7 linked regions of the Canis lupus familiaris genome follow. The protein of the gene in region 3 purifies or fractionates together with the protein of the main gene of each other region. This does not show direct contact. Links are inferred from orthologs where the notes say so. Each region holds a gene or a part of one and is shown on either strand. Other genes may lie near its edges.

The links.
Region 1: the proteins of STAT3 (region 3) and PIAS3 purify together in Homo sapiens (affinity purification with western blotting; 5 studies listed by BioGRID). This does not show direct contact. The link is inferred for Canis lupus familiaris from reciprocal best matches to the Homo sapiens genes STAT3 and PIAS3.
Region 2: the proteins of STAT3 (region 3) and HIF1A purify together in Homo sapiens (affinity purification with western blotting; 4 studies listed by BioGRID). This does not show direct contact. The link is inferred for Canis lupus familiaris from reciprocal best matches to the Homo sapiens genes STAT3 and HIF1A.
Region 4: the proteins of STAT3 (region 3) and SP1 purify together in Homo sapiens (affinity purification with western blotting; 4 studies listed by BioGRID and IntAct, with this or other methods). This does not show direct contact. The link is inferred for Canis lupus familiaris from reciprocal best matches to the Homo sapiens genes STAT3 and SP1.
Region 5: the proteins of STAT3 (region 3) and PTPN11 purify together in Homo sapiens (affinity purification with western blotting; 3 studies listed by BioGRID). This does not show direct contact. The link is inferred for Canis lupus familiaris from reciprocal best matches to the Homo sapiens genes STAT3 and PTPN11.
Region 6: the proteins of STAT3 (region 3) and CEBPB purify together in Homo sapiens (affinity purification with western blotting; 3 studies listed by BioGRID, with this or other methods). This does not show direct contact. The link is inferred for Canis lupus familiaris from reciprocal best matches to the Homo sapiens genes STAT3 and CEBPB.
Region 7: the proteins of STAT3 (region 3) and TRIM59 purify together in Homo sapiens (affinity purification with western blotting; 4 studies listed by BioGRID). This does not show direct contact. The link is inferred for Canis lupus familiaris from reciprocal best matches to the Homo sapiens genes STAT3 and TRIM59.

Annotation. Positions count from the first base shown.
Region 1 is NC_049238.1:59,314,861-59,319,419, forward strand, and holds the start of PIAS3 (E3 SUMO-protein ligase PIAS3), read right to left. Parts: upstream 3,065-4,559; 5' UTR 2,987-3,064; coding exon 2,963-2,986; intron 2,418-2,962; exon of another isoform or gene 1,782-2,417; intron 1,069-1,781; coding exon 651-1,068; intron 503-650; coding exon 418-502; intron 179-417; coding exon 128-178; intron 1-127. UniProt on the Homo sapiens protein: Functions as an E3-type small ubiquitin-like modifier (SUMO) ligase, stabilizing the interaction between UBE2I and the substrate, and as a SUMO-tethering factor.
Region 2 is NC_049229.1:36,920,519-36,924,393, forward strand, and holds part of HIF1A (hypoxia-inducible factor 1-alpha), read left to right. Parts: intron 1-997; coding exon 998-1,110; intron 1,111-1,670; coding exon 1,671-1,873; intron 1,874-3,875.
Region 3 is NC_049230.1:20,469,320-20,473,194, forward strand, and holds part of STAT3 (signal transducer and activator of transcription 3), read left to right. Parts: intron 1-1,408; coding exon 1,409-1,567; intron 1,568-1,696; coding exon 1,697-1,789; intron 1,790-2,841; coding exon 2,842-2,901; intron 2,902-3,875. UniProt on the Homo sapiens protein: Signal transducer and transcription activator that mediates cellular responses to interleukins, KITLG/SCF, LEP and other growth factors. Once activated, recruits coactivators, such as NCOA1 or MED1, to the promoter region of the target gene.
Region 4 is NC_049248.1:44,804,322-44,808,703, reverse strand, and holds the start of SP1 (transcription factor Sp1), read right to left. Parts: upstream 3,042-4,382; 5' UTR 2,937-3,041; coding exon 2,930-2,936; intron 2,451-2,929; exon of another isoform or gene 2,043-2,450; intron 1,858-2,042; coding exon 1,703-1,857; intron 1,379-1,702; coding exon 1-1,378. UniProt on the Homo sapiens protein: Transcription factor that can activate or repress transcription in response to physiological and pathological stimuli.
Region 5 is NC_049247.1:10,338,296-10,342,170, forward strand, and holds part of PTPN11 (tyrosine-protein phosphatase non-receptor type 11), read left to right. Parts: intron 1-1,623; coding exon 1,624-1,818; intron 1,819-3,875. UniProt on the Homo sapiens protein: Acts downstream of various receptor and cytoplasmic protein tyrosine kinases to participate in the signal transduction from the cell surface to the nucleus. Positively regulates MAPK signal transduction pathway. Dephosphorylates GAB1, ARHGAP35 and EGFR.
Region 6 is NC_049245.1:37,284,568-37,288,615, reverse strand, and holds CEBPB (CCAAT/enhancer-binding protein beta), read right to left. Parts: upstream 2,706-4,048; 5' UTR 2,608-2,705; coding exon 1,567-2,607; 3' UTR 866-1,566; downstream 1-865. UniProt on the Homo sapiens protein: Important transcription factor regulating the expression of genes involved in immune and inflammatory responses. Also plays a significant role in adipogenesis, as well as in the gluconeogenic pathway, liver regeneration, and hematopoiesis.
Region 7 is NC_049255.1:26,693,577-26,698,062, forward strand, and holds the start of TRIM59 (tripartite motif-containing protein 59), read right to left. Parts: upstream 2,988-4,486; 5' UTR 2,829-2,987; exon of another isoform or gene 2,767-2,828; intron 2,636-2,766; exon of another isoform or gene 2,480-2,635; intron 2,461-2,479; exon of another isoform or gene 2,062-2,460; intron 2,056-2,061; exon of another isoform or gene 1,903-2,055; intron 1-1,902. UniProt on the Homo sapiens protein: E3 ubiquitin ligase involved in different processes such as development and immune response. Serves as a negative regulator for innate immune signaling pathways by suppressing RLR-induced activation of IRF3/7 and NF-kappa-B via interaction with adapter ECSIT.

The sequences.
Region 1 (4,559 bases), on a different chromosome or scaffold from region 3:
AAGAGTCCCAGGGTCAGGGTGGACGTAGCACAGCAGGGCTATCTCCTAGCAGTGTCCGACATACCCTTATTTCATTCCCACCCCCAGTGGAAGCCCAGCAGGGAAGGAGGCGGGAGGATCAACTCACCTGAGCTGCACCTGGATAGTATAGTCACATTTAGCTCCTGGAAGAACCTCTCTATGACAGGGAGGAGAGGGAAACATGTCAGGATGTGGCCCCCAGAGGGCCAGGCTGAATAGACAGAGAAACAGTTACGTGTCCCAGAGATAGAGAAGAGATGCACAAGAGAATGAGAGATGACACAGGTGCAGAAGGATGGACAGGCAGGAGACGAGGACAGACGAGAAGAAAGGCAGAGAGCAGAGTCCCGGGATAACCACCCCAGGTCAGAGGTAGGAGGGTGGGAAGAGAGGTACCTGGATGTGAGAATCTGCTGCACTTGCTGGGGTGTGAGGGCAAACGTAAAGTGTGCCTCTTCAAACCGCTGGCTAGAAGTGGACGCTGAGGATACAAAGGAGCAGTTACTCCTGAGCCCATGACAGGCAGCCACAGACGCTACCCCCATCCCAGGCCACTGATCCCACAGGACTAAAGCCCAAGGCTTGGGCAAGAGGTAAGATTCAGGAAGATGGAGGAGGCAGAGCCATACCGAGGGTGGTGGGCCGGATGAGCTCCCCATAGACTTCATAGAAGGGCAATGGTTTCATGGTAACATCAGGGTGCACAGGCTGGGGCAGAGGAGGGTGCATGTCCACCTCACGCTTGGGGCCCAGCAGCGTGCCAGGGGCCAAGAGGGCAGGGGGAATGGGAGTAAGAGGGCCAGGGGAGCCGACAGGAGGGGGGCCAGGGGGCAGAGAGAGGAGGGAGAGATCAGAGGGGCCCAGGGTCTTCCGGGGAAAGCGTCGGCGATAAAGCTCCTTGATCTTCATCTGGACGCTGGGGGCACAGCTGGACTTGAGCAGGTGCAGGGCCTTGGCCAGGAGTTCGTGCTTTCGTCCACTCTTGTTCCGGCCAGCAAAGCCCAGCAGAACCTGAAGCTCAGACACCCGGAAGCTCATCACCATGTGCTGCAGAGAACAGAGACATTTGAGAATACTGCCAAAGAGGCAGTGCCTCCCCCGCCCCCCTCCCCAAGAGAAATATGCTTTGCAGCCAGTGATTACAGCCGGACAGCCAATCTGGCCAAAGGGACATCTCAGTCCCATTCAGCAGCCCTCAGGTCAACCTTACCACTGCCCCCCCCCCAGAGCCTGAGTAACCCTATCTCCCCGTGCCTGTAAGCTGGCCAGGTGGGGCAGGGTGCAGGCAGCAAGCCATCCACAGGCACACCTCCGAGTCCACTGTGGCCTCCTACTTCCAACCCTGCCTTGAGCCTAGACGCTCCTTTAAGCAGCTTATCTCCTCTCCTGCCCTTTCTCAGACTCTCAGACCCAACCCAGCCTCCTGGAAAGAGGGTAGGAGACAGGGAGAAGGAGGGGGAGAAGAGGAATCAGGCCAGACAGCCCCACAGGGAAGAAAGGGGGCAGGTGGCCAGAGGATTGTGCACCATGGCACACCCCTCCCAACACTTCAAGCCACCTCAGCTATTTTCCCCAAGCCTCTGAAGCGTCTGTGGCCAGGGTTTTCAGGTCAGGGTTCAATGCTTGTAACTTCCCCCCAAATCCTTTGTAAGCATCAACACCTTTCCCTCAGTCCTATTCTTCTAGGAGATAAGCGACCAAAACTTGGGGCAAAGGGGTTCATAGTAAATCACCCAGTCCAGGGTTACTTTCTTGTTTACCTGTTTACTCCATCTGCCAGGAACTAATATCCTGTTTCTCTCCTACATAGAGAAAATAAGTAATCCCCCCCCCCCCCATAGCCGTGGGAGAGGAGAGGGCTAAGCTGTAAGCAGGGGCCCTGGGGAGATGAGAAGGCTGGGGCGCCTTCCCAGCCTGGGGGCAGACCTGCAAGTTCTCCTGGGGCAGCTGGACCCAGGGACTAGCCCGCCAAAGACTACGGCTCCATTTCAAAAGGCAGAACAAAGCCAGGAGGCAGGGGGATGAACCCAGTGGTTTTTTTAAGGTTCTGTGAGATGTCCTCCGATAGGGGTACCCTCAAGCCTGTGTGGCAGTAGGCGGGCACCACACGCTCGCTCTCTCGCAAAAGGACACCCTCCGTGACTCCCCGGGAGCCCTGTCACGGGCGGGCTCTGCCAGCCGTCCACGAGTCGCCCCCTCCCAGGAGCCTCCCTGGCTTCGGGCCCCTTTTGAGGAATGCGGTGAAAAACTGGCCCATCTACCTTTCTCCCACCCTCATTTCCTCTGTCCGGTTTTCAGTTCTCCGTTAGCTTTGTCAAGAACGTCCCCTTTCCATCCCACAGCCTCACACTCCTGTACCTAAGCCCAAAGACCGATCCACCAGGGCAGCGGCTTCCTCGCCGCCCTCGAACCCGCAGCCCGCGCGGCCCCGCCCCCGGGATCTCCGCCGCCCGCGGTGCTCCCGAGGCTCGGAAGCCCGCGGCAGCCCCAGAGCTGCCATCCCCTCGGCGGCACCGCGCGGGCGCCTCCGCACCTCTGCCCGCGTCCCAGCCCCGCATCTGCCCCCTACTGTCGCGTCTCGCGGCCTCGGTGACTCGCCCCCCGCGCCCCCGCGGCAGCTGGGACCTCGGCCTTCCTCGGGCACCCGCCCCGACCACCGAGTCCGACCCGTACCCCCGCGTCCCCGCCCCCTGCGCCTCGGCCCCCGACAGCGGCAATTCCCCTCGGCCCCACCCCTGCATCTGCCCCGCGGCCCCGCCCCCGAGCCCGTGGCAGCCCGGTCCGCTCCCGCCGCCGCTCGGCTCCCGCTCGGGCAGCCGGTCTCCGCCACGTCTCCGCGCCCCCCGCCCCCGCCGAGCCCTCGGCACCCGGGCTCGGTCGCCTCCCAGACTCGGCGTTCCGCGGGCGCAGTCCACACGGGGCTGGGGGAGGGGGCCGGTACCTTTAACTCGCCCAGCTCCGCCATCTTGAGACATCGCCGGCGCCCGAGCCCGAGCCCGAGCCCAGGCCCAGGGACCGGCGCGCAACTCCCCACCCCGGCGCCCGCCGCAAAGGCCGCCTGCTCCGCCCCGCCCGGCCCCTGCGCCTCCCCTCCCGGCCCCGCCCGCCCGGCTCCGGACAGGCCCCGGCCTCGGCCCCTCCCTCCGCCCGACCCAGCCCCTGCGCGGCTCCGGCTGGGGTGCCAGAGCGGAGGGTCCCCGGGGGTGAGGAAGGGGAGGCGGGCCCGCAGCGCCCGAGGGAGGGCTCTGCCACGCCGGGACTGGGAGGGGGTGAGCTTTTAGAGAGCCAGAGACACTTGAAATACGGGGGGAAAGTAGCGAGAACTGCTCAATCTTAGAGAAATGGGGGAGGGGTGGCGAAGTTGGAGCAGACACCGTCATCTCCTCCTCGACGAGTTTAACCAGCTCAAGTCAAGAGTTCTACCAACTCGGGGAACGGGTGAGATCTGACCCGCTTCGGAGAAGCTGTGCAGTGGTGACGGTCAGGACGGCTGCTCTCGATTCCTCGCCCCCCACCCCCACCCCCACCCCCACCCCCACCCCCCTCCCGGCCAACCAACTACAGTGCTGCCTGGGGTCCCGCGGCAGGACTCAAACTCCGCAGCAAAAAAGTTTGGTGCGACGAGCGGGACTTACCAGCACAGCTGCGGGGAGCGGGGAGGGGGCTCGGGAGGCTCGGAGGGTGGGCCGGGGAGGTGGGGGGGCTGCAAGGCTGGAGGTCGGTCGGTCCGGCAGCTGGACGCTGCAGCGGCAGCTCCGCCCGGACGCGAGCTCCGCCCGGCCCGGCGCTGGGGCTGGGGCCGCCCCCTCCGGGTGAGCCCGCCAGGACCGCGGAGGCGGGGGCGGGGGCGGGGGCGGGGTCGGAAGCGGGGAGGGGAGGGGCTCCGAGACCCGCGCCCGGAGCTTAACTCCTTGAAAGGGTGCGTGAGCCAACGGGTGGGAAGGGAGGACGTTCTGGGGACTCAACCTGCTCACTGTTGCTCCGGCCCCTTGCGCTGCTCTGCCCGCCCGGCGCGATCATGCTGCGAGGAAGGCCGGGCCGACTGGGATTTGGCCGCCTGAAGAGGTTCCTACTTGGAACGAGACTCCTCTCCCTGGGGGAAAGCCTGGGCTGCTAGAATCTAAAGTGGACCTAAGCCCCAAGTCTCCCTGTGGTCCCTCACCCCCTACCCCAAATACTCAGACCGTCGCCGGAGACCCCACGCCTTTGGTGGGGCTGAAGGTGAACAGAGGGGAGGTTTTCTTCCCAAAACAGTCGTCTTTCTGCCCGTCTATGAATTGCCTACTTTTCTTCCAAAGCCTTTGCCCTTCCAGAGACCCCATTCTCTTTAAAATAGGGATCCCTGGGTGGCGCAGCGGCTTGGCGCCTGCCTTTGGCCCGGGGCGCAATCCTGGAGACCCAGGATCGAATCCCACGTCGGGATCCCGGTGCATGGAGCCTGCTTCTCTCTCTGCCTCTCTCTCTCTCTCTCTCTCTCTCTCTCTCTCTATATCATAAATAAAAGATAATAATAAAATATATATATTTACTTATTCATG
Region 2 (3,875 bases), on a different chromosome or scaffold from region 3:
TTAGGCCATCAGAAGTCCTCCATTATTAACAACCCTAATCTTCCCTTTCTGTCTCATTACTCTTCTGCATGTACTTCATATTATAGCATCCTGAACTATCTACTGTTTCCTTTTTTTCTTTTTTCTTTTTTTTTTTTTTTTTTTTTTTATGATAGTCACACAGAGAGAGAGAGAGAGAGAGGCAGAGACATAGGCAGAAGGAGAAGCAGGCTCCATGCACCGGGAGCCTGATGTGGGATTCGATTCCGGGTCTCCAGGATCGCGCCCTGGGCCAAAGGCAGGCGCCAAACCGCTGCGCCACCCAGGGATCCCTATCTACTGTTTCCTAAACATGTGTTCTCTTTTCCTCACCTCTATGCTTTTCATTTTTTTTCCTTCTCACCATTTCTTAGTTCTGTAAGGTTTGGAATGGGAGTAAATAGATCTGATTTTATTTCACTCTAGTTTTGCTTGGAAAAGTCATTCAGTATGTTCATTTTATTTGCTTTGTTTTTTTCCTCTAGTAACAAAGTAGAAATAATGTCATGCCTGCTTTACAGGAAGATTTAAAGAAAAATCAGATAAATAAAAATGGTATTTGCTTTGAAAAGAAAGTTGCTGATTTAAAAGTTCTATAAATATAGGGAATGCTTATTATAAATTGAGCTAACACATTTAGCAAAGGTTTAGAGGAGTTTGCTGCAGTCTTTTTTGGGATGTGCTTGTAAACTGGTAGCACAATTACAAGGCAAATTTATACCACATTTATGTTTCTTTGTAATTTTGCCAACTTCACAAGCTTGAATGTGAAATGATTAACTGCTGTCTGAAACCAGGGAATCATTGGGAGTTGTGAACCCCAGTTAGTGATTGAATCATGTTAGATCTCTTGAATGTGTTGGAGTGTGAATCATTATTCATGCTGAGACTTATTAATTGAATATAGCACCTTTGTGCTACTCTGTGACAAACTTAAAAATTTAGTTTTTAAATTTTATTTCATGCTTTCATTCATTAGGCCTTGTGAAAAAGGGTAAAGAGCAGAATACACAGCGAAGTTTTTTTCTCAGAATGAAGTGTACCCTAACTAGCCGGGGGAGAACTATGAACATCAAGTCAGCAACATGGAAAGTAAGTAAAAATGACTTGTGAGTAGTGATGTATATCCCAACACTACTAATACATAAAATAGCATTAGAATTGTGAGGGAAAACTTACAGTTATTTATTAGCATTTGCTGAGTTACCATCCCAAACTAGAAATCTCTCTTTGAGGCATGAACTTAAATTGTACTGAACTAACTTAATCAGTTGGCTTTGCCACCCACTCAGTGTTTGAGTCTTGATATAACTTAATTTTCTGTTTATTATTTCATTTCTTTGCTCAGTGTTGCAACATTCATTGAAGTAAGAAGTAACAAAATAATAAACAGCCACTATGATGAAATGAATGAAAAATCAGCCCAGATTTGTCTGAAAGAAAATTTTTAAAGAGTATTTTATGGTGCCTGAGTTACATGAGTGGTGTTACCCAGGAAACATTTATTGATTTCAAAGATATGGTTAATCCACTAATGACAATAAATTTTATCAAAGCTTATCTGCTGTGTCACACTTCAGATGTTTATCTCTGCATTTTTTAACTAGCATATTATGCTTTTTAAAAAACTGCTTTGTTTTCTTTGTACATAGGTACTTCACTGCACAGGCCACATTCATGTCTACGATACTAATAGTAACCAATCTCAGTGTGGGTATAAGAAACCACCCATGACGTGCTTGGTGCTGATTTGTGAACCCATTCCTCATCCATCAAATATTGAAATTCCTTTAGATAGCAAGACTTTTCTCAGTCGTCACAGTCTGGATATGAAATTTTCTTATTGTGATGAAAGGTAAATAATATATGTAAAATATAACTTGAAAATTTTAATTAGTCCCTAGCGTATTTTTTTTTTACCATTCACTATAATAAAGACTGCGAATGCTTCCTTCCACAAAGTTGAATAGTGATACATTGTAAAAGTCAGTAATACTAGATTAACTTTGTAGATTAATTCAGCTGCATTTATCAAACACTTACTGTGCACTATGAATACTCTATCAAGGTGCTATCAAAAATCATAATGATGGGGTCATTTTCCTTTAGGGCTTCTAACTTATTTAAAAAGAAACATATTTCAAAGATACAATGCATTATTTGGGAAAGAATAAAATACTTTTGGTTATGGACTAGAGAGGAAAATGTTTGATCATCTCCTTACCCTACATATTACCCATGATTTATTTCTATTGCCTTTTCCCAAATTTATGTCCATATTTATTTTTAACTGCAAAGTTGACATTTTATCTGGATAATCTTCTATATTAATAAACTGAGTATTTCTATAATTGAACTATACCACTATTGCCCCAAAACAACAACTTTAAAAATTGCGCTGTTTTAATAATGCTGACATGGGTAGTATACCACTGTAGATACATAACTCCTGCAAAAATTTGGAATTTATCCTTAACTTTTGAAGATTTTATCTATTTATTAATAAGAGACAGATCGAGAGAGACAGATGGAGAAGCAGGCTCCCTGTGGGGAGCCCAATGTGGGACTCCATCCTAGGGCCTGGGATCATGCCCTGAGCTGAAGGCAGACGCTCAACCACTGAGCCACCCAGGGATCCCTCTTTTACTTTCATCATCTGTACTCAATTGGTCTCTAAATCCTATAGATTTACTATCTACATATATCTCTTGGTCCATTCCCTCCTTTCTACCCTTGCCTTCCTGCCGCTGAATTCTTCAGCTCATTATTACAACCTTTGGCTCAAATTTTTGCCATAATCTCCTAGGCTGCCTCTCTGCCAAAAGATTTATGCCCTTTTAATCTCTCATTTACATCACCCAAAAGTGGACTTCATTATGTGAAAATCAGATAATATCATATTACTGTTGAAAATGTGTCAATTGTTTCCCTTTATCTTTACACAGAAAAAACTTGGGTTTATAAAAATATTAGAGGAGGGCAAGGGATTTTCTTTATCAAAAGATGTACCTTTTGAAAAGCTGAAAGAAAAATGGACCTCTACAATAAAACCCAAACTTCTTAGCATGGCCAACAAAAATATTTATGATCTGGCCCCTGACCACTTCTCTAAATTAATCAGGAAGAGGGGATTACTCTGATGTCCCCAACATCCTACAGCTGGAGAACACCACATGCTAACTTGCTGTCTTAGTTCCTTTACACACATTTTCCCATTCAGCGATGAAGTTTTCTTCAATTCCTAACACACATTTATCTTTCAAGAGCCATCTACTTCTTTATGGAACTTCCCTTTATCCTTCAAGAAACTATACTATTCATTGTGCGTACATCTGTCAACATTTTTTCTACTATTGTAATTATTTGCTTGTCCCATTTTTTTTTTTTAATGTATGCCTGTGTAATATAGTAACTGAAGGCATAGATTCCACAGCCAGACTACTAAATCCTGACTTTGATGCCTATATCCAAATGATCTTGGCACATCAGTTTCTTCATCTTTTGTTTTCTTTTTATTTATTTATTTATTTTTTATTCATGAGAGGCAGAGACATAGGCAGAGGGAGCAGCAGGCTCCCTATGGGGAGCTTGATGTGGGACTCGATTCCAGGACCCCGGGATCATGACCTGAGCTGAAGGCAGTTGCTCAACTACTGAGCCACCCAGGTCTCCCAGTTTCATCTTTGGTAACACTTTATGTAGGGTCAACTTAAAGATTGTATGAGAAAACCAATTTTAAGCACTTAGTCATGATACAAAGTAGATAGGAATCCCCCACCCCACTGGACAAGGAAATGTGACAGAACTCTGGCTTTAAAATCCCATAGTCCTGGATTCAGTCCTGGCTTGCAGTTTTT
Region 3 (3,875 bases):
TAAATCTTTAAAAAAAGAAAAAAAAAGATGGTCATCTCTACATTGTCACATCAGTGGAATCATTCTTTTTTTTTTTTTTTTTTTTTAGTGGAATCATTCTTTATCTGCTCTTTTGCTTTCATTTATGCAGCAGATCTTTAGTGAGCTGAGCATCCAGATGTGCAAGGCCCAGCAATGTGCATGATGCATGGGCTTGAACTATGAGAAATTTGACATAAAGGGGCACCTAGAGACTTAAAGCATGACATTGGAAATTTAGGACAGCCCTACATGAGAAAGCCTGTTTGTTCATATCCTCACTAACCCTGAATTTTGTTAATTCACTTAAAGCAGTGTTAAGTGTTTTCTGGTCAGGGACCCAGAAAGCTTAAGTTCTGGCAATGGGAGAATGTAAGTGGCAAAAGAGAGTTGGGGAACCCAGAAATCTCAGCAGCTGTCCTGTTCCTCCTCATGCTCCACACACCCCCACATCTCTGCCTTCTCTCTTCAAGGTCTTTTAGTGTTTATTAATCATGCGCTTCAACCTCTTCTGTCATGCAAGGGGACACGAAGACCTGTGCTGCAAAGGGACGTGGCCAGGGTTACACAGATAGTAAGTGACAGAGCTAGCTCAAGCCCATCCTCTTGGGATGTCTAATTGCCTACACTTCCCACATTTTGGTACAAGGATGGGTTAGGATAAAGGCAGTACCACATTTCATATTTCATGTTCTCCATACCTGAGTTTGAATGCTTGTCACTTTCTTTCTTTTTTTTTTAAGATTTTATTTATTTTAAGAGAGAGGGGGAGAGAGAGAGAATATAATCGAGGGGGAAGGGCAGAGGGAGAGGGAGAAGCAGGCTCCCCGCTGAGCAGGAAGCTCCACCCTGGGCTCAATCCCAGGACTCTGAGATCATGACTTGAGCCAAAGACAGATGCTTAACCAACTGAGCCAGCCAGGTACCCTTTCTTGTCACTTTCTGATGATTATTCTATTCCTGCTTCTTAGGGATATAAGTTTTAACACTTCTTCCTCTATGCCAGCTCTTTTTGAAATGTTAAATTTTAAGAAGGAACTGTTAAAACACAAAATCCCTATTTCTTATTTTTATTTATTTATTTATTTACTTACTTACTTACATAAGCGCTGCACCCAACATGGGGCTTGAACTTATAACCCCGAGATCAGACGGCACATGCTTTACCAACTGAGCCAGCCAGGTGCCCCCCATTTTTTATTTGATATTGCTGAATGATACACTCACAAGTGATAAATGTTACGTTATACCACAATAAAAAAAAAATTCCCCCTTTCTTATCCGAAGGGACTACATGGTGGTGTTTATATCTGTGGGCTTCCCTTCCCCTTCTCCAGCTCACCGGTGTGCACTCACTTAGTAACTGGTAGCTTTCTCATTTTATTGGCAGGATAACCTCATTAGCAGAGTCACAACTTCAGACCCGCCAACAAATTAAGAAACTGGAGGAGTTACAACAAAAAGTGTCCTATAAAGGGGATCCCATCGTCCAGCACCGGCCAATGCTAGAGGAGAGGATTGTAGAGCTGTTTAGGAACTTAATGAAAAGGTAACTTCGAATTCCGGTTCCTTTCCCTCATCGCTCCCCACCCCACCACCTCCTTTGCTTTGAGGCGTAGAACGAAAACCAGTTCACTGCAGAGTGTATATGTGGACTGCTGTCCTCTTTGCCTTTCAGTGCCTTTGTGGTTGAGCGGCAGCCTTGCATGCCCATGCATCCTGACCGGCCGTTAGTCATCAAGACTGGCGTCCAGTTCACTACCAAAGTCAGGTGGGCCCCATATTTCCTCTTTTGGTAGATATTTTATTTTTTAAATAAATGTTATTTATTTATTTATTCATGAGAGACACACAGAGAGAGTCAGAGACATAGGCAGAGAGAGAAGCAGGATCCATGCAGGGAGCCTGATGTGGGACTTGATCCTGGGACTTCTGGGATCATGCCCTAGTCTGAAGGCAGACGCTCAACCACTGAGCCACCCAGGTGTCCCTGGTGGATATTTTATTGAGAGATGTTCTTAGGATGAGAGCCGAGTTGATGGCCAGAGTTTTCCTTTCTAGGCCTCACGGGTGGTAGTATAGTGGGTATGGAATTTGCTGGCATAATATCGTATCAATTTGCTTCTTAATTCTCCTGTCAAAAGCTAAGGAATGATTACCTCTTTTTGAGGTTACATGAATATATTCCTACAATTTCAGGCCTATAGTCTTGGGCCATTGTGTCTCCTTCATCCCTGCAACAGAGGCATACTAATGCTGGTTATGTTCTATCCTTGGTGCCTACTTTTCACTACGAATTTTAGGGGAAAGAGTAAGGCATCGAGATATAGAAGCTAAGAGGCCATAGAGCAGGTGGGTGGTGGGCCTGCAGGGTGGGGTGTGACTTTCACACCCAAGTCAGGACAGGTATATTGGGGTTTGGTCTTCTGCAGTGAAATTTCCCTCTTTAGAAACTGGGTGTTAGGTTTCAGGCTTAACAGAAAGCATACCAGCTGCAGAGCGCGTGTTCCTGTAATAATTCTCATGAAACGACTTTCATTATCCTTTTGTAAATCTCATACAACTTTGTCCAAGTTTGTGGTTTTTACGCTTTCTATCAGTAACAATGGGCCTGAAGGGGTGATACTCAGTGTAAGGTCAAAGATGTCACTAGTAGGAAGAGGAATCTGGGATTGTGTTTTATTCACCTTTTAGAAATGAAGGGTTATGAATTCTGTATTCCTTTGAGTAGGAGTTAGTGGTGGAGCCTATTGACTTGTTTTTAAAACTGATATATTTTTTTCTTTACTCAAAAACTTTCCCTCCCACTTTCTTTTGAAATAGATTGCTGGTCAAATTCCCGGAGTTAAATTATCAGCTTAAAATTAAAGTGTGCATTGACAAGTAAGTACTCTGTATGTTAGCTTTTTTTTTTTTCTTTTTTCAAATGAGGGACAGAAATGAGAACTTGGATAATTATCATGTGAACTTAGAGGCTTTATCTCCATTTGGGGATCTTCATTTTTTGAATAGAAGTTTTCAAAAGTCTTGCAGTTCATTGTCATTTGCATGCCTGAACAAAAAACCACAAAGCTGGTGGTACAGATATGAGTTGTGATTGCTATTGTGACCCTGGGTCCTCCTTTTTCTTTAATTTTTTACCTGCAGACTTTTATTATAAAGATGTTGATCCTTCTTGAGAAGGTTAATGTGGCATAAGCAAAATACGTATAGAATTTCTTAACTCTTGACTTGCTCTTCAAGCTGTATCTTAGATGAGAAAAATAGCCAAACATTGTTTCTTTAAAGGATTTATTTATTTATTTATTTAAAATTATGGTAAAAATTTTAACATAAAATTTACCATTTTAATCATTTATAAGTGTATAGTGTTACATATATTCACATTGTTGTGCAACGGATCTCCAGAACTTCATCTTGCAACATGGAAACTTTCCAACCATTAAATAACAAATTCCTGTTTCCCTGTCCTCCCAGCCCCTAGCAACCACCATTCCACTTTCAAAAAAAATTTTTAATGAATAAAGATAAATAGGAATGGTGTAGGAAGATGCCTTGCCAGATACTAAAATGTATCACAAAGTTTCAGTTACTATATGAGTGTGTTACTAGGGCAGGAATAAATTGATTGATCATTAAAACAAAACCTTATGTCCAGAAATAGACTTCAAATTTATAGAAAGAATTAATATACGTTTAAAGTGATATCTCAAATCACTGAGTAAAGGATGGATTATTTAGGAATTAATTATGGGAAAACCTGATACTGAGGGGGAGGTGGAGGATTTGAATGATAAATTAATGTTTTATTTTTTGTTGTCCATCAGATGTATTTATATGTTTAATGATCTTAAAAG
Region 4 (4,382 bases), on a different chromosome or scaffold from region 3:
TAGGGATGGAGGCAGCTGAGGCAATGGGTGTAAGGGTGGTATTGCTGCTGCTGGTCTGCCCCAAGGAGACACCCTGCATTGGGGCCAAGGTGATTGTCTGGGCCTGCGGGTTCTGAACTTGGAGATTCTGCAGCTGAAGAGTCTGCCAACTGACCTGTCCATTGGGCCCCACTGTTGGTGTCCGGATGATGATGGGGCCGGAGTTTGGAACAGCCTGAAGCTGGAGATTCTGGAGGGTTTCCTGGGAGATAGCTTGGGTTGTAAAGGTCTGCCCTGACAATGGTGCTGCTTGGAGGGCCTGGAGAGCCTGTCCCCCTTGAACTAGCTGAGGCTGGATAAGAATTTGTTGCTGTTGCTGTGTCTGCTGGTTTTGCTCTCCCTCTTTTTGCTGACTTGCTTGCAGAGAGCCTCCAGATGTCTGGTTCTGCTGAATGTTTAGAGCATCAGACCCCTGTAGCCCACTGACCCTCTGGGGTGTCTGCCCTTGAGAGTTGGTCCCTGCTGATCCGCTGGTGGTGAAGTTCATAATTCCCATGTTGCTGGTGGTAGTAGTTGTTGAGTAGCTATTGGCATTGGTGAAAAAGGAGCTGGAACTGGCTTGTGATGATACCAAACTGGCAGAACTGATGGCAGTCCCTGAGGTGGAGGGCTGTGAGCCACTCTCCTGGGACCCAGAGCTGCTGATAGTGACTGCCTGAGAGCTAGGAGTCAAGGTAGCTGCAGAAACGCTGTTGACAGGTAGCAAGGTGATATTCCCGTTCAGGGCCACTGGTACATTGGTCACATACTGAGTCTGTCCTGAGAGTACGTTATTAGTCAGGCCTTGGAGGGGGACAGCCTGCTGGAGTAGGTTTGGCATAGCAGCAATGATGTTGCCTCCACTTCCTCGATTTGTGATGATCTGTTGGTTTGCACCTGGTATGATCTGTATTTGACCAGAACCATCCTGCTGCACTTGGGCCCCAGTGGCAGCGAACTGCAGCTGTTGCCCATCAACGGTCTGGAACTGTGGGATTACTTGATACTGAATATTAGGCATCACTCCAGGTAATCCTGTCAGGACTTGCTGGTTCTGTAAATTGGAGGTGGCGGCCACAACATACTGCCCACCAGAGACCGCACGATTCTTGGAAGACTCACTGCCATTGCTGCCATTGGTACTGCTGCCACTCTGTTCCTTTGAGGTAGGGGTAGCCCCAGAGGAGGAAGAGATGATCTGCCAGCCATTGGCACCCTGTGAGAGCTGTGTGGCTGTGAGGTCAAGCTCACCTGTACCCCCTGACTGGCTTGGGCCTTGGGAGTTGTTGCTGTTTTCATTGGGTGACTCAATTCTGCTGCAAGTTGCTGCCAGCAGAGCCAGAGGGGATGGCTGGGATTCCTGGCCGGAAAATAAGGGAGAGGATAGGAGTCAGAGACACCCAGCTGCCAGCCCTGGGGGCAGTTTTAAAACAAATAAACAGCAAAACTGCAGCCAAAGAGAGGGAAAAAAAAAAAAAAAAACCTGAAACAAAAAGCTGACCTATCCATACTGCTGAAATCCTCATCTCTGGAGATCTCCCAATCATTTGTCTCTCTGTGCTAACTTCCCTAGCTACAAAATGGTTTAGCGCTTTCCTAAAAACGTTTCTGTGAAAAGACAATAATCTAAGAATATTTACATTCTCTAGACATCTCCCCTACTCTGCCCTGGTTTATCACTTACCTGCCCTCCTCCTCCTCCACTGCTGCTACTGCCTGTGCTGCTGCTTCGAGCCTGAGAAAAGGCACCATCACCATTACCGTTGCCCCCATTATTGCCACCAACTCCTTTTTCAATCTTCACCACGGCTGTCATTTCATCCATGGAGTGATCTTGGTCTAAAAAGAATTAAAAGATAAACAACTTAGAGTTGGAGGAAGGAAAAGGGTAAGGTTAGGAGGGATAAAGGACGCTATGATGAAACAAATAATTAACAGTAAGGTGAAAGGCACCAGCGTTAAAAAAAAAAAAAAAAAAAAGTGGATTGAGGAAAGGGCAATTGTAGGACACATAGAACACAGACTTGGCTTAGCAGTGCTGAAACTGGGCCTCAATTCTTCCCTGGCACAAAATTACACCCAGGAAACATTAAAAATGTACTTTTCGTATAGGAAATGTGAGGGGCGATGGACATGTTCAAAGAGTTTCAAAATAAAAAAAAGTATCCTGGGGATAAAAAGGAGAGGGATAGGTAAGGCAAAGAACAACATGTGGGTGGATGGAAAGCTTGCTAAAATTAGGGTCAAAGAATATAGAGAAAGAGAAAAACTCAAGGGTAAAAAGCAGCACGAGGAGAAGAGGGGCAAAGGGGAAAGAAAAAACAAAAAAGTGTGAGTGGGGAAACATTTGTGGATACGGCTAAGGGGCTACGGGGTCCAGGGGTTACGAATCTGGAGGTTTCGGGGCGGACAGAGGGCGGGCCCTGGAAGGAAAGGGCGGTTTCGGGGTGAGGGGCGTGGAAAGGGCGGGACGGTGGGGGGGAGGGGAAACCTACGGGGGGAGGGGAGGGCCTTGGGGCAGGCGGCGACCAGAGGGCGGACCGGGGAGGCGGTTGGCCCGGGCGGGGCCTGCACTGCTCGGGCCGCCCCCGCGGCTCCAGCCCCCGGCGGGAGGAGCCTCAGGCGGGCGGCCGAATAGTGGGGGGTAAGGCCCGTCCCCCGTGGCCGGGGCGGGCAGGGGGCGGGCGAGGCCACGCTGCCCCCTCCCCCGGGGCGGGCGGCCCATCCCCCGCTTTCTCGCAGGCCCCGCCACTGCCCCTTCTCCCTCCCTTCCCTCCGCCCCGGGCGGGACCAAGGCCGCCGCCGCCGCCTCCCGCCCGCCCCCCCTCACGGCGGGGACCGCCCGGTCGGCCCTCGCGCGCGCCCCCTCATTCCCCTCCCACCCCTAAGCGTGGAGTGGACTCATCCTTACCGCTCATGGTGGCAGCTGAGGGACGAGCTCAAGGGGGTCCTGTCCGGGGGGGTTGGGGGGGGCCGGGAAAAACGCGGACGCTGACGAGGCAAGCGAACCCGGACCGGACAGGGAGGGGGGGGGTAAGGAGGAGGGAGCAGCGCGCCACAAGCCCGGCCTAGGCCCCGCCCCTTCGCTGCTGCCCCGCCCAATGAGGGAGGGAGAAAGGCGGGACTTGCGGAAGAAAGACGCGTGGGTCATCCAATGGCAAGGCTCACTGGCTCTCTAAGGCGTGTAGGACAAAGTTGCGAGCCTGGTGTCCGCCCAGGGAGGCCGCCCTCTCAGTTTTAAGGCCCAATGAAAGGCGCAGGAAGTGGGGGTGGGCGGGAGCTAGTGATGACAGGCTTGGGAGGGAGCCAGTCAACCGCCAGGCGGGCTCCCTGAACGGTGGGGATAGGGAGAGCTTAGGTTGGAATGACAGAACATCGGCCAACCAGAAGCCCGGACATGCCTGGGCAAAGTCCCCGGTGGGAGGGGGTAAGAAGCAGGCCGAAATGGGATAGGATGAAGCCGACCACAGCCAATCAGAAATCAGGCGGGCAGCCAGGAAAGTTAGGATTGGGCCAACGCTGAGACAAGACAAGCGGGGACGCAAATTGACGTGAACGAGAAGCCAATTGAACGCCGAATGCACTCCGGGGGCGGGACTTTGGGGTGGGCCGAGGAGAAGCGGCGTCTCCCTCAGTCGGTCCGCCCAATGAGGCGGCGAAGGGGGCCAGGCCCCGCCCCCAGGGGGGCCAATGGGCGCCGCCAGAGCCGCCCGTCGCGGGGGAGGGAGCAGGGCTGTGCCAAGAGGAGGCCGCCGCCATCTTGGCCCTCCTCAGGGGACGTCTTTGCAGTGGTTAGGTGGCGCGCTTCGGTGGGGCCGTGCTGCGCAACAAGTGTCAGGGTCGAGACGGGCGGAGCGCGGCTCTGCCTCCCGCCGGCCGCTCTCTCGGGGGCCCCCCCAGCGTCCCCCTCCCCGCGGTGGGCGGACGGGCGGGCGGGCGCCTCGGAGTGTGGGTGTCGGCCCTGTGGGTGCGCGCGCGCCCGGCCAACCCCGCGCCGACCGTCCGCAAGGGCTTTTGTGCGACTCCGGCGGACGCCATCTTCCCGACTTCTCCCGCAGACGGCGGCCGGCGGCTTCCTTCCGCGGCGCTGACTTTCTCGAGAGCTGGGCCTGGAGGACCTCCCAGAGTCCGCGTCCTGTCAGCCACTTCCTGCCTCTCCTTCCCCACACACCCCGTCCGACGGCAGGAGGAGAGCGCGGGCCTTTGTAACCAAAGTCACAGGACACTTTCCCCTCAGACACCTGCGTTTCTGGCACCTCCCGTTCTACCTCGCTTCCCCCCCCTCCCCTGGTGTTGGTGGAGGCGGCCTGGGTGAGTCGTCAATGACACGGAGGTCATTCCCTGCGGCCCCTCCTGGTATCTTC
Region 5 (3,875 bases), on a different chromosome or scaffold from region 3:
AGCTAACTAAAATACCAAGTTTTAGAAACTTTTGGTCAATGTTTTGTCAACTCAGTAGGATAGCATTTTAGCCATTTTATGCTGGAAACTGTCAATTGTGTTCTTTTTTTTTTTTAATTTATTTATGATAGTGCACAGAGAGAGAGAGAGAGAGGCAGAGACACAGGCAGAAGGAGAAGCAGGCTCCATGCACCGGGAGCCTGACGTGGGATTCGATCCCGGGTCTCCAGGACCGTGCCCTGGGCCAAAGGCAGGTGCTTAACCACTGCGCCACCCAGGGATCCCTCAATTGTTCTTAAAGTGATTATTTAAGGTACAATTATATATAGTATCATAAGTGCACCATGACATGAATTTTGACAACTATATATGTAACCAACAGTACAGTCACAATATTTTTATCACTCTAGAAGATTCCTCTGTGTCCATTTCTAATCTCCTTCCTTCTGCGTAGCTACCACTGTTCTCATTTCAAACCCTGTAGACTAGTTTTGCTTATTCTACAATTTCATTGACAATTGAAGTCATACAGTATATATTCATTTGTGTCTGGCTTCTCTCTCTCTTCTCTTTTATTTTTATTTATTATTTTTTCTTTTAATTTATTCATGAGAGACAGTGAGAGGGGGGCAGAGACACAGGCAGAAGGAGAAGTAGGCTCCATGCAGGGACCCCGATGTGGGACTCAATCCCAGGTCTCCAGGATCAGGCTCTGGGCTGAAGGCAGCGCTAAACCACTGAGCCACCCGGGCTGCCCTCTCTCTCTTTTTTAAAGGTTTTATTTTTAAGTAATCTCTATACCCAGCGTGGGCCTTGAAACTCACAACCCCAAGACCAAGAGTCATATGCTCCCCTTCCTGAGCCAGCCAGGCACCCCTGGTTTCTTTCTCTTAACGTAAAGTTTTTGAGATTATCCATGTAATTGTATGTATCAGTGTGTTTTTTTTTTAATTGCTGTGCAGTGTTCTGTGGTCTGAATATGTAACTATTTATTTGTCCATTTTGGTGATAAATGTTTGAGTTGCCAGGATTTTTCTATCTCAAATAAAGCTGCAATAATATTCTTCTACAAGTCCTTGGGTAGCTATACAGTTTCATTTTTTGGGGGGGGGGGTGCAAAATACTTATGAGTGGTTTTACTGGATTAGAAAATAGATGTTTAACTTTATGTGTCTTTTTTTTTTTTTTTTTAAGATTTTATTTACTTATTCATGAGAGACACAGAGAGAGGGGCAGAGACACAGGCAGAGGGAGAAGGAGGCTCCCTGAGGGGAGCCTGATGTGGGACTCCATCCTGGGTCTCCAGGATCATGCCCTGAGCCGAAGGCAGACACCCAACCGCTGAGCCACCCAGGCATCCCTAACTTTATGTGTCTCGATTAATTACTGATGAGAAAAATTATTGCCACTTAATATATGCATTTCGGTCAGACTTCCAAAATAGAAGTTGTACAAGGGAAAGGAGCCAGGCAACAAAGCCTTTGTGTTGAAATGGTTGACTTGTAAACTGGCTCCTTGGGTATGTTTCAATGTTTAGGTGAAATCTGATATAAAATGTGAGATCCATTTTTACTAGTGTAGCTCTTTATTAGTTTTTGTTTTCCCCCTAATGGACTCTTTTAGAAGAAATGGCGCTGTCACCCACATCAAGATTCAGAACACTGGTGATTACTATGACTTGTATGGAGGGGAAAAGTTTGCCACGTTGGCTGAGTTGGTCCAGTATTATATGGAACATCACGGACAATTAAAAGAGAAGAATGGAGATGTTATTGAGCTTAAATATCCTCTGAACTGTGCAGATCCTACCTCTGAAAGGTCAGTGATGTTTAATGCACCTCTTCCATGCCATAGGTGTTCTACGAATGCATTACGGGGCTTTGGCTTTACCTGTTTCTCAAGTTGTAATCTTTGCAACTAAGTAAGTTTTACTGAAGCAAGAATCATAGGATGAAATTATTTTCAGAGTGCCTTTTTTCTGGTGAAAGTTTCGATTAACATTCCTTATGCTTAATTTTGCAGGGGTCACAGACTATTCCTGTATATACTTGGTACATGCAGTAATTTTAAGATTATTGAATTTGAGCCCATAATCTTTAAGAATTAGGAGAGGAAAATAAGTGCTAATGGAGGCGCCCAAACAGCAGCAGTTCCCTGTAGCAGCTCCCCATCAGCTATTCAGCCATGCCACCAACAGATGTCAGTTTAAGCTCAGAAGCTGAAAGTCAGAGCTTGCAGAGGGTCAGATTTTTCATCAGTTCTGTTCTGTTATATCCACAAATGTGGGAGAATGACCTTGCTTAGAGGGAATTACGTTATTTCTGAGATCATCTTTCGCTTGATTTGGAACTAAGCTGATGAAAGCTGAGACTTGACTTATTTTTATTGATTTTATTGGTTTTCTACATTCCCACTCTCCTCTCTGACTCAGTACAAACTCAGGGTCTACTTAATTAGGTTTGTATATTTTGTATCTTCAGGTAGGTCTCTTCAACTTGCATCTTCATGTCAGTGCTGTTACAGGCAGATAATTTCTCTAGCTATACTATAACTTCAAGCAAAAGGCTGTTTGCCAACTCAGTTTATTTCTGAATTTTACTCTGTTCATTTGAGGGTGGATGAAAAACAATTCACTGTATATTCCTCTAGTGATGAGCCACTACACTAGCACTATCTGCCATGATAGTTAGTGCTTGCTTTCTTATCAAGATCCTGAGGGAAAAAGCCACATTATTAATATAACTATGTGAAGGTTTTTTAAAAAGTTTGTTTGTTTATTTATTTAATCTCTATCCCCAACATGGGGCTTGAATTCATGACCCCAAGGTCACGAGTCACAGGCTCTTCTGACTGAGCCAGCCAGATGCCCTGTTAAAATGTTTTTTTATAGTATCCTAGAGTGATATCTCAAAATCTGTCCTCTCGTGACCCGCATCAGGACTCTCGAGTACTGGGTAAAAATGCAGATTGCTGGGCTCCTTTCAAATGTAGTATATTGCTATTTCTGGTTGGGCGGCATGGGAATTCATTTTTTTAGCAAAATCCTTCAGCTTTTCCATAAATATTATATGCTTTAGAAATGATAACCCAGCATACAGTCTAAAGATACTGACAGCAAACTTGGAAGCTGTTGAAGTATTGGTTGGAAATATTAAGGAATTTGGAGTGCTTAAATTAATTTATAATGAAAATTTTTTAATGTAATGTTCACATACCAAAGCAAGGACAAACATTCAAATGATTTTTTTTCTTTTTCTTTTTTTTAAGATTTTATTTATTTATTCATGAGACACAGAGAGAGAGAGGCAGAGACACAGGCAGAGGGAGAAGCAGGCTCCATGCAGGGAATCCAACGTGGGACTCGATCCCGGGTCTCCAGGATCAGGCCCTGGGCCCAAGGCAGTGCTAAACCACTGAGCCACCCGGGCTGCCCGATTTTTTTGTTTCTACCATGACCACCTTATTTTAATTTCTTTCTCTTTTCTTTTTTCTTTTCTTTTCTTTTCTTTTCTTTTCTTTTCTTTTCTTTTCTTTTCTTTTCTTTCTTTTCTTTTCTCTTTTCTTTTCTTTTCTTTTCTTTTCTCTTTTCTTCTTTCTTCCTCCCTCCCTCCCTCCCTCCCTCCCTCCCTCCCTCCCTCCCTCCCTCCCTCCCTTTCTTTCTTTCTTTCTTCTTTCTTCCTTTCTTCCTTTCTTCCTTTCTGATTTTATTTACTTACTTGAGAGAAGGCACGAGCAGGGAGTGGGGGGTAAGGGGCAGAGGAATAAGCAGACCCTCTCCTGAGTAGGGAGCCAGATGTGGGGCTTGATCTCAAGACCCCCAGATCATGACTCAAGCTTAAGGCAGATGTTTAACTGACTGAGCCACCCAGGCGCCA
Region 6 (4,048 bases), on a different chromosome or scaffold from region 3:
CCCAGGGAATCAGAGACAGCGGGGTCCCAGGTTCCAACCAGGCTCGGCCACTATGAGCAAGCAGGTGAGGCCTGGACCCTGCGTCCACACCTGGGCAAAGAAGGCAAGGGGTGAACCTCCCAACCCGAGGAAAGGGAAAATAGAAATGTAGGAACCCTTCTCCCCCCACACCTCCCTCCACCTGGCCCAGCTTCTCCCCTCAGGCAGGCCAGGGACACACAAACACAAGCTCGCCCACACACCCAGGCTCCTCTTAAAATAAATATATACACACACACAGTCTTTTTTAAACAGCCCGCCCAACTACACTTACCAAAAAGAATCTGCTCCAACTTGGGCTCAGCAAGACCAAGACCCATACGCCCTCTTCCTACATAATGTGGCCTGCTAGCCGGATCCCCCAAACACCGGACCCTACAGAGGTCACAGACGTACAGGTCCCTCCCTCTAAACTCAAGCCTGGCACTCGGGACAAGCCGACCTCTTCCCAAGCAGGGTTCCGGGTCACTCCTCCCCAGCACTCAGGGGCGCTGAGTCACCCTGAGAGCCCCAGAAACCTGGCATCCCCCACCTCCAAGCACAGACCCTGGAGGGAGCAGCAGTGGAGGGAGGACCAAAAAAAAAAAAAAAAAAAAGCACACACACACACACGACACAGCTGTTAACACCGCCACCCAACCACCAAAAAACCCCCAAAATAATAGAAACCCCCCAACACACAACAACCCCACCCCCCCCTACCCCCCCACACACCCCCATCCAGGAAAGCACATCTAAAATCATCTAAACCAAAAAATAAATTAAAAAAAAAAAAATCGAAAGCCAACTACTGCCCCCAAAAGGCTTTTAACCATTCTCCAAAAAAAAAAAAAAAAAAAAAAAGTTTATTAAAAGTGTTCTTAATGCTTGAAACGGAAAAGATCCCCAAATATACAGACGCCTCTTTTCTCATAGAAATAGATTATTTTTTTTATAATACAAAAAAAAAAAAAGGACCAAAAAACAACAACATCAACGACATCAACAACAACAACAACAACAACGCATCAACAGCAACAAGCCCGTAGGAACATCTTTAAGCGATTACTCAGGGCCCGGCTGACAGTTACACGTGGGTTGCGTCAGTCCCGTGTACACTCGCGTTCAGCCATGTTCGAGCCGATTGCATCAACTTCGGAACCGGCCCGCCCGCCGGCGCCCGGAGAGGAGGCAGGGGAGGCAGCGAGCCTGTCACTCATCTGTGCACATAGACACGTCTTCTTTAAATAACACCACGGGCGGGCGCCCCGTCTGCATGTGCGGTTGGTTTGGACAAAAATATAGATATATATATATATATAATAAAATATTAAAATTACCGACGAGCTCCCCGCGCCGCCAAGCGCCCCGGTGCCAAAGTTTCGCCGGCGCCCCGGGGGCGGGGGCGGGGGCGGGGGCGGGGGCGCGGGTCCCCGCGGCGCGGCCGGCAGCGCGCGGGCAGGCGGGCGGGCGCGCGGGCGGGCGGGCGCGCGGGCGGAGCGAGCGGGCGGCCGGCCGGCCGGCGGGGGGCCGCGCGCGGGGGCCGCGCTAGCAGTGGCCGGAGGAGGCGAGCAGGGGCTCGGGCAGCTGCTTGAACAAGTTCCGCAGGGTGCTGAGCTCGCGCGACAGCTGCTCCACCTTCTTCTGCAGCCGCTCGTTCTCGGCCGTGAGCTCCAGGACCTTGTGCTGCGTCTCCAGGTTGCGCATCTTGGCCTTGTCGCGGCTCTTGCGCACCGCGATGTTGTTGCGCTCGCGCCGGATCTTGTACTCGTCGCTGTGCTTGTCCACCGTCTTCTTGGCCTTGCTCTTGACCTGCGAGGGCGCCGGCGCCGCCCCCGCGTAGCAGGCGGCCGGGGGCGCCTTGGCGTCGGCGGGGCTCGGCGTGCCGGGCGGGCTGGACGACGAGGACGTGGACAGGCTCCCGCTGCTGCCGCTCGGCACCGCCTGGTAGCCGAGGTAGGCGCGCAGCGCGTACGGGAAGCCAGCCGCCATGCCTGCGGCGCCGCCGCCCGGCGCCCCGGCCTCCTCCTTCCGCTTGCAGTCCGCGGGCTCGAAGCCCGGCTCCGCCTTGAGCTCGGCGGGCTGCGGCGGCGGCGGCGGGGGCGGCGGGTGCAGGGGCGCGAAGCAGCCGGGGTGCAGCGCGCCCTTGGCGGCCCCCAGGCGCCCCAGGCTCACGTAGCCGTACTCGGACGCCTTCTTGCAGTTCTTGCCTCCGTAGTCGTCGGAGAAGAGGTCGGAGAGGAAGTCGTGGTGCTGCCCGGAGGAGGCGGGCGCGGGGGCGGGCGCGGGCGGGGCCGCCTCGAAGGTGTCCGTGGCTGTGGCCGGCGCCGGGGCCTGCGGCGCGCCCAGCGGCTCCAGGTACGGGCTGAAGTCGATGGCGCGCTCGTGGTCGCCGATGCTGCCCAGCTCGCCGGCGGGGGGGCGCGGCCCGGGTCTGGCCGCGGGGGGCGCCGCGGGGGCCGCCTTGCCGCCGTACGCAGCAGCCAAGCAGTCCGCCTCGTAGTAGAAGTTGGCCACTTCCATGGATTTAAAGGCGGGCGGCGGCGGCAGGGGCAGACATGCTGGGTCCCAGGCCACCAGGCGTTGCATGAACGCGGGTGCCCGGGGAGGGGGCCTGGGGCTGCCCGCTCCGGCCGGCCCGCAGGTGGCGCGGCCTCCCGGCTCCGACCGTGGCCGCTGGGTCGCCGCCGCCGCCGCCGCTGCTGCCGCCGGGGGGCCGCTGCCGCCGGGGGGCCGCTGCCGGTGCGGGGGCTGACGGCTGGACCCTCGCGTGGGTCCTCTTCCCGGTCCCGTGCGCGGCTCTGACTCGCTAAAGTTTCTCCCGAGCCCGGTTATTTATAAGGCGACCCATGGCAACGGCTGCGTCACGCTGGCAGCCGCCCCGGCCCCTCCCGCCGCCGCCGGGACGCGGGGTGGCGGCCCGAGACCCCCGCGAGGGCGCCGGCGGGGCCCGGCGGCCCGACCCGAGAGCCGGGGCGCGCCCTCGGGGGGTCCGCGGGCCCGCGGGGGGGCGGCCTGACGCCCCCTGCCCACCCCCACCCGGCGGCGCGGGGATTGGGAGCGAGGAGGGGCGGCGCGACCCCGCCCCCGGACCGCCCCCTCCGGGCTGGAGGCCGCCCCGGGGGGGCCGCGGGGAGGGGGCAGCGCGACCGCCTTCCCCCTCCCGAAGCACGGCCGCCGCCCGCCCCCTGCTGGAGGCGGCGGAGGCTTCGGGACCCGCCGAGCCCGCCCGGACGCCCCACGGAGGAGGCCGGCGCTCCCCAGGCCGGATCCCGGAGACCCCGGCCCCGCCCCGGCCCCCCGAGAGGTGACCCACCTGCACCGTCCTTCCCCCGCGCGGCCGGCCCCTCCCCGCCCCAAAACTTGCTCCCAACCCCAGCCCTCGGAAGGAGGGGATTCCACGCTGGGGGAGGCCCCCCGCCCCTCCTAAAGGCACGTCTAACGCAAGGACCCCGGTGGGGGGCACTTCGGGGGAGAGCCCCACCGGGACCTCGGCCGCGGCGACTGCGCCGCCCCCAGCCCCGCCCACCGGCCCTGCCCGCCCCCTTAGACCACACCTGGGTCTTCTCTGGCCCCACCCGACCCTGACCTGGGCCCAGGGAGGTGGAAGGGGGTGGGTGGGGGGTGCTCGGCGGCCACGCTGCGTGACCTTGGGCGAGTCACTTCACTCCAAGCTCCTTCCATGAAAGTGCTGTTACGGTTATTATTATTAGTTGTATCATTGTCTCCACCACGGACTCCCAAACAGAAGGCTTAATTTAAGTTTGAGGTCCACTCTGGGAGGCACATCAGAAAGAAGCCACCTCCCTCCCACAGGGTACAAAGAAGCCCGGGGGGGGGGGGGCATAGGACACCCAAGGTCACAGGGCCTCATGTCCCCCACTAGTCTTAAAAGCTCTTATCAGAGCACCCTAAGACCTTTTTGCCAACCTGAGGTCAAAAAAAAACTATTTCTGAGGCTGGGGGTGGGGGTATCAAGCCAGACCCCACTGGGAGCCATGCGGGAGAGAGAAGGGACATCCCCCCCGTT
Region 7 (4,486 bases), on a different chromosome or scaffold from region 3:
GTACAATGACCAAAATGAGGTTCTTCCCAGAAATGTAAAATTAATTTAATAACAAAAAATTACTCAATTAGGTCAATCGAGAAAAACTGTATGATTGCAAAAGATATGGAAAATGCGTATAATATAAAAATTAGTAAGCAACCCACAAAGACAGAAAGTGAAATGGGGCTAGAGGGAGAGGAGATGGAGAGTTATTGTTTAGTTCTAAGTTTGGGAAGATGGAAAATGTTCTGGAGGCAGATGGGTATTTACAGTTGCACAATAATGTGAATGTACTTAATGACAGTAAATTGCACACTTAATGGTTATAATAGTATATTTTATGTCTAATTTCAAAATAATAACTTTTTAAAAAAAATTTTAAGTGCCTTGCCTATTACCTTGTCTTTCCTCTGCCAAATTAATTGTAGAATCAACTTTCATTATCTTATGTTTTTAGAAAGCAAAGAAGTAAAATAAAAGTCACCCATGTAAAATGCTATTTTCCTCTGGTGAGTACTAAAAGCCCAAGTAAACATTGATAATTTATATCAAGATTTCCTGTTATCCTCTTTAAAATCCTCAAGATATGAATATAAAAAATAAATCTGAGGCTAATCATCCACTTATAAGTTATTTCACAAAATTCTTGTGTTTAAGTGTCAAAACAAATACACTTCTGAATATCTAAACTTTTTATATAGTCTTTCTCCAGAAAACGGACTTTCTACAGAACCTCCACCACTATGTCTAACTAGATAGTACTGATTATAGATTATGGAGAATTAAACAGTACAAAAAAAAAAATCATTATCCATTCTACTACAGAGTAGTGTGTAAACTATTTTTTAAGTTTTAATTCACCAATAATGCCTTTCATCTCTAAACATGAATAGTAATAAAACATCCATTACATTTTACAACCTCTGAAGAAAATTATGTTTACCACATTATAGAGTTAAGTGACTTGCTCTAGGAGTTACAGTGTGAGTCAGCTGAAAGTCTGGGAAAATTCTGATTGGGTCTCACATCTTTGTGGCCCTAACTGATATACAGCACATTTTATGCGATTCAAGATTACTTTAGAAATACTACAACTGTACCATCCATATACATAAGGCAAGATTTTAAAAATGCTTTTGTATGTATAAATATACAAAAATTTTGTATGTATAAATACTTTGTATAAATATACAAAAATAATGAAGGATCACCATAACTTTCTTTTTTTTTTTTTTAACTTTCAAAAAAAAAAATCCTATGGTCAGATAGGACTTTAAGTCTGTCCATTTGCACGGTACTTGCATCCTGACATCAATCTATTTCCCCAAACTAAGAAAGAAACTACCTATGTGATCTAACCAGGAACTTGTGAGAAATTCAGGTGTTCATTGCTTTTTCTTCAGTATTTTTCACAGTGAAAATACATTCAGCAATATGTTTGCTGAAAGGCAATGTTAAAACTAACATTATCTAAAAATCAAAATTTCACCTTGCCAGACTGAATTATGGTACCTTCCTTCAAAGGATAGCTACACAAGTCATCAAAAAAATAAATAAATAAAAAATAAAAAATAAAAGAAAGCAAATCAGTACGTAAATACATAGTAAAAAGGTAGCCAGGTAATTTAAGTAATAAATGCAACCTGCAGGTCTGTATGTATAAAATGATACCATTTGTGTGTTCAGATGCACACAAATCCTTGTAAAATTTCTTAAAGGATATACAAAAGTGACTAACTGCAAGGTATAAGTCTGATGAGGGAGCTGTTTTCACTTCATGCTCCGCTCAGATGGCTTGAATTTTATACACCAAACATGTCTTTTTTTCAGATTTAAAAGCCCCATCTTCCACTTTAAACCATTCACTTGGAAAATTTACCACGAACTTCTTTTGTATTCACTTAATCTTTCAGAGCTTACCTACTTTGTTGATCTTCCCCCTTGGCGACTGAGTATATTCTCCAACTTTTTCAGTTTCTTTTATTCGTATTCTAAAATTAACTTTATCTTAATGTTTTAGATTTACATTCTCAAAAAAAAAAAAACATTAAAATGACATCACAGGAATAGCTATCTCACCCTTGGAGGTTTATCTCCCCGTGCCTCATGGCGTTTTTACAAAAATGGTGACAGGTATCAACAGTTGTTGGTGCGGGCGAGGTACCACTTGTACACTGCATATCCCAACAAGCCTGTGACCAAATAAATTGTCACAAAGGACCTCTTTTTTGTAGCGTCAAGTTATTTTACGAGCTCTTGAAAATGTTAGCCAACAATGGCGATGACGGAGCAAACATTCACGCGCACTTTTGACTTAGTAAAAGTTAACTTGAGGACCAGAACCATCCACGGCAGTGAAAGATCTTGCCGGAGTAAAATGATAAACACCGACTGAGGTTATTCCCACCAGCACGTCGGTCCACCTCTCAGTTCTGCCACTGAGTGTTGTGGGACCCTGGGTCGGTGTGTGCTAGCGCCTCTCTAGCCGCGGTTTCACCTGTAAAATGGGCACCGTCCCTGACGGGCTTCGCCGCACCAGCCCCCTTCCTTCCCTCTCCGAGGCGGAGGGCAAATCCCCCCGAGCCTCCTCCGAAGGCGCCTCCACCGGAGCCCGCGCGAGGGCGGACCCACGCCGGGCCGGCCTGCTCACAGAAAGCGGCTCCACAGCTGAGGGAGGAAAACGGCAGCCCGCGAACTCCTCACACCCGGACGCGCCGGCACGGGCGCAGCACCCAGGCCGCCCCCTCCGTCCTCGCGCACACGCGGCATCCCAGCCGGGCTTACAGGCGAAGAAGAGGGGCCCAGAGACGGCTTCTCGGACCCGAGGAGATGCTCCCCAGACTCACCGCGGGGACTCCGACACCGCCCTCCTCCACAGCCCGAACAGTCTACGGGCCTCCGCACGCCGCGTCCGGGGGATGCTTGGCGTCCCCGCCCTCCTCCGCCCCGAGGGAGTTCAGGTGCCCAGACGGGGCGGGGCCTCGCGGAGCCCCACGGCGCAGGCGCAGTCTCCGCGCTACATTCAACTGCGCGGCGTCAGCCAATGGGAAAGAGCGCGGGGCAGCCGTTCAAAAGTAAACGGCCGGCGGCGCCTGCGGGGGCGGGGCGGGGCGGGGCGGAAGGGCGGGGCGGGCTCCTGGCCGGGGGCCCGCGTCCTGCACCTGCGCACTAGCCGCCGGCCGCCTCTCGGAGGCGCGGGGGGCGCGCGGCCCGAGGCGCTTCCGGAAGCCGCGGCGTTCGGATGGGCGGCCCCCGGGCGAGCGAGCGGGGTGGGCCCGGCGGCGGCCGACGACCCCTCCAGGAGCGTTCCGCAGCCTGATTTTCTTCCTGGCGCGCAGCCGGCAGGTGCGGGTTCCCACCTTTACCTCACAGGTTCCGCCGCGGGACGTCTCCGCCGGCCCCGAGGGCACACGCACCCCGGCGGCGCGCGCGTCCTCCCCGACTCCGAGTTTCCTCGTGGGGGCGAAATGCGGACGCCTGGACCGGCCAGAGTACGTGACGGGGTGCAGGGGAGGGGGCCTCTGTTCTCTACAGTTTTGGGGAACGTCCTCCGTGGCAGCTGCTGGGACCTCAGGACCCTTCAGGAGCATCCCTCTCATCTCCCTCCCTCCTTTTCCAACCTGAAATGATCACCTAGAGATGACCCCTGTTGCTCAAATTCCTGATTTCTGATTCAGTCTCTTCGCCCTGTTTTTCACCTAGTTAAACCCCCTAGAATCAGAAAACAGTTCAGTTGTCCTTTTCCCTTTTTTTTTTTTTTTCTTGAGAAACTTTATCCATCTGTATCAAGATTCCTCACACTTTCCATCTCTTACCTATACTGGAAAATCCTTTAACGCTGTGCTAAATAGAACTGCGCCTTGGTATGCGGGATATTGCCAGTACCTTCAGGTACTAGTCTGCTGCAGTAAATTATAGAAAAATAATGAACGTGACGTGAAACAAGGTAATATCAGTGAGTCCTCAGTCCATTTCAGATGTCCTCGCCAATTCAAGTTACTGAGAACCTTGCTTAGAATTTGTGGATTCTGTCGATATCCCAAGATTCCCGCTGTGACATGATGGTACAGATCCATTTCGGCTTTCTTATGCGTATACATTTTCTTAAACATTGGATTCATCCTGATAGATTTTTAATTTCCTCTCAAAGTAATACGGATATCTTTCCATGGCAGTAAGTGCACTATACCTATCTAAAAATTATTCTCTTAAAAAAAAAAAAAGTGAACCAGTGATGTTACTATGGATATTGGGTGATTGTGAAGTATCCATGTAGATTCCTCCCTTGTAATCAGTGTACTGTTGCAGGACCTGTGGAATGCAAAGGCCCAGAAAGAATTTTTGAGACATTGTGTGGTACAGCTTCCGAAGTTTATTTAAGTAGTACAGGGACAGGACCTGTGGGCAAAAAGAGCTGCACTTTTTTTTTTTTTTTTTTTAAGAGCTGCACTTTTGCTGTATGAAGTTGGTAGTTAATATGCTTAGTGTGCCCAAGGAGGGGGTG